Linked DNA regions of Saccharomyces cerevisiae S288C. The protein of the gene in region 1 interacts with the protein of each later gene in a pairwise test. Each region holds a gene or a part of one and is shown on either strand. Other genes may lie near its edges.

Region 1 (4,831 bases):
ATTCTCTCAAAAATACGTTCGTATAACTGATTAATCCTGTTTTTCTAATCACTATTTTAATGTTTCAATTGAGGGATTTTGCCTTCATACAATTGTTGAGAGAAATTTTCCAACAAGTATGGGAAATATGAGCAATTCTTATCTTTTAAAAACAAGAACTGGTCCGATATTATTCACCTCAAACATATTGGACGAGATCATTTTTAAAACGTTAGGGGTGGGGAGGATATCAATAAGTTTTCATAATTATGTTAACCTTCAAGCCATAAAACCGAGTAAGACCACTTAACAAAATCTATGAGAAGCCTTGCGGCAGAATCTGACAACTTCAGTGAAATTTTTTTGTGATTATAGAAGCATAAACTACAACGCCGAATTGTTTTACTTTATAGCAATTATGAGGTAGTATTATAACATTATATTATCATTTTTCAAGTGGTATGAGGTATGAAAGTACTCTATCAAAGTATATATGCTTAACTGTACAAACGTGTATGAAGTATTGCTCATATCTTTTTGTCGAAATTTCGAAGACAAAAAATAAAGCAGTCTATGAGCGATCCCGTTTTGTGAACATCTCCATTAAATTAGCAAATGAACCTGTTCCTTGTCTTAATGGTGAGTTGCTATTGTTGCTCCGAACTGACGATGAGCGTGACCTTCGATTGTGGGTTGCGCTCGTATAGTTTTCCTCTTCTCTTGGCTTATTAGCGTCAGATGTAGAATCAGTTTTATCAAAATGTGAATTGTTCTTGGAACTTGAATTACTAGTGAAAGATGTTGTCATATTAAACGGAAAATGTCTGCTTCCTGTGCTGCTTTTTGCTGAAGTGAAAGAGAGATTTAGATTAAATGAACTATCTGTGTTGTTTCTCGCCAACTGCTGCAATGATACTGAGGATCCGCTATTATTCCTTGGTAATGGAGAGTGGGATAAATGTGTCCTACTAGACGATCTTTTCAGATTATTGGAACTCTTGCTCGAGCCTGGAAGTGGCAACAAAGAGGATGTAGACTTGTGATGAAGAATTTGTGGCCTTTCTAGTTCAATTTTTTTATTTTCTTGAACTCCAAGTTCTTCCTCGGGATAAGCCGGTGGAAGATCCTCACCAATCATATCAGATTTCATTGCTTTATCATACGAGGGAACTCTGCTTAAATCTGTCAGTTCCAAATCGTTCTTCAGCGATGTAGAAGATGTTTGGCGACTATATGAGTTACGCCTAGATAAATGTGCAAAGCTTGGTGTCAGTGAAGGACTATTCAATCCAGCATTAATGATGTTATTATATCTATTTGCAGAAGGAGAGTTATTGTTCCAATTTTCACTAATTGTTAGATTACTATTAACCAGATTCAGGTTACTATTGTTAACGCTGTCCCCTCGAGAGTCACAATTATTTAGGCTATCATCTTCAATCTTGATTTGAGGATTTGGTGCCAAAATAGGATTATTGCTATTGTTACTATCCGATATATATAGGTTTTGAATATTGTGAATTGCCTGTGATTCGACGGCACTTGAAGAAGCTGATGCTGAAGTTTCGTCTTCATTAGTTACCTCGCCATACACTCGATCGTAAACGTGATTGCCGTAGTTGGGAGGTACCATCAAACTAGTTACCATAGTTGTGTCAGCGACTGCGGTAGCCTCTGCATCAGTACTATTGATATTTAAAGTAGAGCCAGATACTATGGTTGGCATTGAAGACAATTGTAACGCAGAAGCAGATCTTTGAAAAATCACATCTTCTTCACTATCGTCTACAAAGTTTTTGCTGCTGAATGAATTATCGTGCTGACTTGTTACTTGATATGAGGGTCCAAACGTTTTGAGCGTTCTTTCAATAACATCGGAGGTCTTTACATTGACTGGAACAAACGGTGAAATGAATAATTGGACAGGCAGTGCCGCACGCAATTCTGAAATATGACCGTCCGGATTGAGTAAACTTATAGTGAACTTGATCTTATGACGGACTTTGATATTAGATAAAATGCGACAGTCTTGGGAGCATTTAGTCAGGCTTGCAGGTATGTTTAATAAAGCTCGAACTTCCCATTTATCTTGAAATTCCCCTGTGTCCGTATCAACCCCTTCGTCGGCAGCTTCATTTAGGCTCCTCTTCTTCTTTATTTGGGCAACGTGCTTCAGGGGATCTTTTAGTTTTAATTTAGCCACCATTCTTTCTTGGTTGATAACCCCTCCATAGCTACCACAATACTGGGAATTTTCCACCAAACTGATCCTAACAGGGCCTAACTTCAATCCTTTTAATATAGGAACAATTAAAATATTGATCATGGTGGAAGAGCCAATGGCAATTGCCTTAGTTGGAATGGAGATCGTATAATCGACTTTTTCAGGCCATGAGTTATCCACTGATACTGTTTCAGATAACTCGACTGCATCTATAGCTAACGTTCGAATAACTCTTAGATGTTTTTTACAGATCAAGTCGGGCTGCTTAGGTCTCTCGATAGTAGCTTCCAGAGCATAAGTGACGGCAGCATTTGGTAGGCCTTCTACACTTTCCACTAATGACCCAGGAATAATCGCGCTGAAAGGGAATTCGTAGTTACCTTTTACTAAGGTGTGATAGTTTTTGCTTGCGCTTGTCTGCCCATTACTTGATATCAATGATGCAGTAGAAAGGGCTCTTTTTCTCTTTGGCAATGCTGCTAAATTTGTTGAGGATTTACTAGAAATTGTTATTTTACCATTATTATGATTATCGTACAAGTTTTGGAAATAACTTTTTATATTAAAATCATCCCAAAAATGAGAATATATGTTTCTCTCAAACTTTGAGTATCGCTTATGCGGCCCATGAACAGTTTGTAAAACCGTTGGAATATTTAGTCTCAACCTACCAAAAAGTCTCAAAGCCAAAGACTTGATTTGAATTGGCTCAGTAATTGACAATACTATAGTTCCAGATAGTAGGACAGAAGATGCCTCATCAGGGGGGCCTTTTATCAGTAAAACATCATTGTCCAAATTTCTAAGTCTGATGTCAAATAGTAATGGCTCTTTTGAAGGTCGAGATGATGATGAAAACATTATTACTTATGGAGGAAGAGAAGCGAATGGTGTGATGAAATCGCGTTGATTTCTGTATGGTTGTTAATTAGTTTTAGATCTGCATCTTTTTGACGTCTATATTTGAATAGGGGACCCCTGTTCTGTTTTTTTCGCTTAATAAAAAAACGCTGAAAATTGCAAGAGCCCAGCCATACAAAATAATTTATAAAAACTGTGAACAGGAAGCTTCTCAGTTTTTATCGGAGAACCCATCTCTGGGGTTAGACATTCATCCGCATTAAAACTCCTATTTTTACTCGTAGTTTTCGGTCTTCAAAATAAAGCAGATTCCTTAAAGTTAGATGCTTTTATTCAACTTAATCAGTAATGTAACATAATATGTACCAAGGGACTCGACTCTTTTTGACCCATTGTTTAATTAATATGTGTTATAATTACAAGAATAATGCATTGTATGGACATATCTAAAAATACATAGAATAATTACATAAGGTCGAAAGTTGTGAGTGAATACATTAAAGTAGTAAAACTTCACCTATAACATTAGATTGCCCAACGCTGACTACTGTCTTCTAGATATGGAACTTGTTACTCCTTTCTAATAGTTTTCTTCGAAGGGCACCTTTTTTAGCATATGCGCGCAGTTTAGTTTGCAGTCGGGTAGGGCCAAAATTAGAATATCTTTTGTTACTTCCATTATCGCGGTGATCATTGCGGGCTTGTAGTGATTTGATTCGATTCATAATTTCATCCTTTTTAGACATATCAGGTTCCTGACGTGTGATTACTTGATTTTTCAATGCGTTTAATTTAACATCCAAATATTTAAAGTATAGTTTTCGTAAAATTTGTTTGTCATTGATATCTGTAAAAGTAGAGTTCACCTCCCAAGTGGAAACATCGGAAGCGTGGAAAAAGTTTGGAGTCTGTGTAGATGGTATATCTTTGTACCAGTCTCGTTTCATCATGTCAGAAATATATTTACGGGATTCGGTGTCGAGAATATCGTTCTTTTTTAAAGCAAAATCAGGTAGATGTGTAGTATTAGGATGATGGTGATAGAAATGCTTGACATTTACTTTAAATCCAACTAAGGAATTCAGGTGTTCCTCCAAAAGATTTTCGTTATATGAGCGGAGGTTTAGTAGCTCCTCTGTTAATTGTTCGTTCGAAGTATCCTTTACCAATAAAGATTTATCCTCGTACTCAGGTGACAACGGCAGGGCTACAATATTTAGCACCGGTTCGTTAAAGAAGCGGCCACTTTTGGATCGTTTTTCTTCAACTTCGGTTTTAAGCATTATTTTGCATTTTTCCCATTTCGTATTACTTGAGTTAAGTAACTGCTCAACGTGTTTCAAAATATTACTGAACAGATTCATAGACATCTTAAATTCCCTATTAGCCACCAAGCAAGCAATTTTCCTATCGTCCCTGTCATAGTGTAGAATGTAGTCCTCCTCACCATATATCCCTTTTGTGATATCATTCTTCTCCTTTAACAAACTGTCGAATTTGCTGTTATACGAAGAATGGATTATATAATCTAATTCGTCCAAAGGTAGATATTGGAATCCAAACATCTTAGAAATATTGTGGTATGCAACGAAAATACCGTCCATTTTGCCAATTCTAGCTTGCAAAGAATACTTTAGAAGGGCAGACCTGATTAGTTCAAAATATTCTCTTTCCAAAGACTCAAATTCCCCATAAACTTTATCTATCTCATATCCAGTTTGGTTGTTATTACTCTCTACATGTGATAAATCGTATCTTATGGCAGAA
Region 2 (4,050 bases), on another chromosome or scaffold:
AAAAAATTTTCACCAACGCAAAAAAAGAAAAAGAAAAAAAAAAAAAAAACATTAAAAACGTTTCTTTTTCACGTGCTAAGTGATCTAATAATTTAGGGTTATGCATGGGTGGGGCCGGATAAACCGCGGTTGAAAGTGATTAAACGGAGTCTTTTCTTTTTTTTGCTTCTTCGTTTCTTTTTTTAATTTCTTCTTTCTTCACGAATATTTATTACCCAGCCTGTCATGATTTTTTGATACGTAATTGCCCTGGTTGGGCCCTTTTGCGAGTGGCAGTAAGTATGGAAGGGGCGAACAATGATTGTAAGTTGTTTTTTTAATAGGGTAACGACCGGGTAAAATAGAAAGAAGTGTTGACTAAGAAACGGGAATCAACATTCACTTGCTTATCTTAAAATGTTATGTATATATACGCCCTGTAGATATGTATAAAATATATACTTGTAGAAGGAGTTTAATGTATATATATCTTTTAAAAAGGAATAGGTAAAAAGATTGAAACAGAAGGGAAAGTTGCTATTCCCTGATAGTGGCGCTTATTGGAATTGTAGGCCCTACGTCATTTTCTTGAACTTTTTTTCTTCTTTGCAGAATCGTGGACGTATCCAGCGTTAATTGGAACATATTTTGTTCCAGCTGTTCATCGCCTTGGGCGCCACTGTAACTATCTTCCAATTCTTCGTCCTCAGCAAGCGAGCCTAATCCTCCACGTGTTCCCATACGGTCTTCTTCGGTACGTTTCACAGCATTACCAATATCAAAGGCGTCACGCATAGCAACAGCAGCTGGTGAAAACAGTAGCGAGGAGTCTCTTTGAAATAGTTGGAATTGTTTCTTATGCGGATGGCGTCTTTCGGAAGTACCTGCTTTCTTTTGTGAAGATTCGCCCTCCTTTGGTAAACAATCGAATGTATTTAACCATGGGTCGTCCAAAAACTGGTCAATGTCGTATCTTTTAGACGGCTCTAGTTCTAATAGCTTAGCCACGGCATTCTTGGCACCGGCGCTGATTTCATCCCACCAAGGTTTCAGAAAGGTATACTCACCCCTTGATATTTTTTCAGTTAAAGTGTCAATTTTCTCATCATAGAATGGCGGGAACCCACATAACATTGTGTACAAAACGCAACCAATCCCCCACATATCCACTTTCATAGAATAATGCTCATCTTTGACAACTTCAGGGGCAGTGTAACCGACTGTACCACAAGGAGTCTTGGTGTTCTTGGAAAATATTTGTTTAGACAAACCAAAATCAGCTAGTTTTACTATACCAATTCCACCACCACCAACTCCTGGTGTGAAAATTCCCTCGTCTGCCTTTGTTTGCGGATCATCCGATTTCCTCAATTTTGGTTTTATAGAGCGTGTGAATTCAATCGGTTCAAAAAGAAGATTCTCAGGTTTTATATCACGATGCACTACACCTAGTGAATGCATATGTTTAACAGCCAGTGCTAATTGTTTGATTACATGCCTTGATAAATCTTCACTGAAATAGGTCAACCTAACAATTTCGCCGAAGATTTCCCCACCGGTTAGTAACTCTTGAATAATATAATAATAGCTATCTGTTTCTTGGAAGTCTATGAACGCGACAATTTGTGAACAACCAGCGGAAACCGTCTTATGTAGTGCAACTTCCTTCAAGACTTGATCTCTGGAAGAAGTTTTAGTGCTGTCCTTCCCTTTGTCCTTCTTACGATGATCACCATTAATCGAGGATAAATCTGCCTTTTTGATAACTTTAATGGCAACAGCTTTATAGTTTTTAGTTAAAAATTCATTAGAACTATTTTTAGCAGGTATGGCTCTAAAGACTTTTGAAAAAGCACCTTCACCGATTTTATTGATCAGCTTGTAACCTATCAATTCCTTTTGTTCGAGGAAGGATTTTTCCGGAATTTCATCTTCCATATTGTCATCATCAGTACTGTCATCCTGGATATCACTGATAATCTCGCTTTGTTCCGAAAGAGATTCGTCAGATATTAAGGGGTCGGAACTTAATTGACCTTCACTACTTTCATGGACATCGATAGCTGGCACGGAAGTAACTGTTTCCACATTTTCCGTGGTAATATTATCACTCGGTGAAGAGTCCGAGTCTATCGTGGTTACTAATTCATCGGTTAAAGACTTCATATGATGGTCATCTGCGACAACACTCGGGTACTGAACTATATTTTTGTCCTGAAAGCTTTTCTTAGGGGAAGAAGTAATCTGGGAAACATCTTTGTTATTTGTACCGCTTGACCTGGTCTTACCCTTGAATGGTTTTTTAGATTCCTGAGACAAATCTGCCTGATCCGGTTTCTTTTTCGAGAAAAGGGCCTTTATTTTAAGCATCGAAGAGATTTTGTTTGATCCTCTCTAAATAAGCAGTACTCTTAACAATACTTTCGTCTTTTCCAATCGTTAAATGTTTGTACTTCAAATAACGTATGAACTATCTGGGATTTTATTTTCTTTAATTTTTTCGATGTCACTCTTTTTTTTTCTTTGGCCGATCCGTCTTTTCTAGTAAGCGTTTGTAAAAAGTTAGATGTCAATAGGAGAGATAAAGCCCCAGAGATAGAGTTTGACTTCGTTGAAATAACTGTCGCTGATTACTATTATCTAGGATTCTTGACGAGGTTTCCTCTTAATCACTGGATTTATAATTATAACCTTAAACCTAGCCAGTAAAAAAGTTTAAAAAGAACAAAAAACAATAACAAATAAATGTCCCTTTATCCTCCTTTTTTCTCTTGATTGCTATAAAGTAAAAAGATTACTAGACTTTATGCCAACGTACTCGTGGACGACTAAAACTAACGGTGATTTTTTGGATCGTAGTGGCTCTTTTTCAGCCTTCGTACTTTCAAGAATAAAGGAAATGGCAACTACTAAAAAGAGTGCCTGCGCAACGGATGTTTTATTAGCTTGAAGATGTAGCTGAATAACTCCTGTTTTTAAGTGAGCTCGAAATGACGAACCAGTCAAAGAACAAACTTGACCGCAAATACAGGGACATCCAAGGAGTCTGGGATAGCTTCACTCCTATGAGAGCTCAAGGAATTACCTGCTCGCATCTCTGACCAAGGATAAGGCTCGTTTTTTCCTTTTTCGGAACACTCGAACTGCTACCCGTCTTTTCCAGATCTACAGCTGATGAAATGTGGCTGATGAATGTATTGATTTGCCACTTTCTAGGCGCTGTCTAAAGGAATGAACTCCAGGAAAGGCCAACTTATTCGACGGTAAATGTCTGCAGTAGGTGCGCTATTAGCAAGGGAGTACAACGTGACTGCCGAAAAATGCGACTTTTTCCTAGAAAATGGTTCTTTTGATTCAGTGATAGCAGCATTGCCAGCGCTAAATCAGGAACAAGAGACTGTAACTCAAAAAGTTAGCAAGAACGGAAAAGAATTAATCAACGTTGCCTCGGTAAATATCGAAATACCAGAGCGAATAAGTCTTTCCAACAACGGTAGGCAGTTATTTAAATTTATTGTTGATATAGAGATCTTACCTTGTGAAAATGATAACGAGGCAACACTTGTTGTGTCGTCAGATTCCGTATCCTTATTTCAAATTGGATTTAAAATGGAGAACAATTCAAAAATCGCTGTTGACAAACAACTTCCGCTGATCTTGGATATATGTGCTCATAAAAACCAAGAAAGGGCCCTACGAAATCAGTTAGAAAATCGTAAATCTTTAGAACGCAAACCATCAAGAAAGAGAAGAAAAAAAAATTCAAATGTTAACGATCCTGAAAAATTACTAAAAAGTCGTATACACGAATTATCTTTGTCCTACAAAGATTTTGAATGCTCTCCAGTCGTATTCCGATACAATGATTCCTCTTTAACATGGGTTTTATCTTTTAATTTGAAGTTGAAGTTTTTAAATAATAAATTCAACCGGTTTTCCGTGGAGGCTAACCAAATACTGGACTTGACGTTCTCTAATAGGGACGAGAACGAATTTGAGCGATATCACAAGCACAGCCATATCCATTCAAACTTCATTCAAAAACAATTTATTTCTCAAATCTTGGAATAT

Evidence for each region. The genes of interacting proteins can lie anywhere in the genome.
Region 2: the proteins of ROD1 (region 1) and RCK2 interact in a two-hybrid assay, tested with the Saccharomyces cerevisiae proteins (one study listed by BioGRID).

Annotation. Positions count from the first base shown.
Region 1 is NC_001147.6:362,602-367,432, reverse strand, and holds ROD1 (Rod1p), read right to left. Parts: upstream 3,065-4,831; coding exon 551-3,064; downstream 1-550. Other genes in the region: PET127 (Pet127p), read right to left, coding at 3,619-4,831. UniProt on the Saccharomyces cerevisiae protein: Mediates resistance to o-dinitrobenzene, calcium and zinc.
Region 2 is NC_001144.5:632,551-636,600, reverse strand, and holds RCK2 (serine/threonine protein kinase RCK2), read right to left. Parts: upstream 2,350-4,050; coding exon 517-2,349; downstream 1-516. Other genes in the region: E3 ubiquitin-protein ligase IRC20, read left to right, coding at 3,247-4,050. UniProt on the Saccharomyces cerevisiae protein: Serine/threonine-protein kinase involved in a signal transduction pathway that is activated by changes in the osmolarity of the extracellular environment.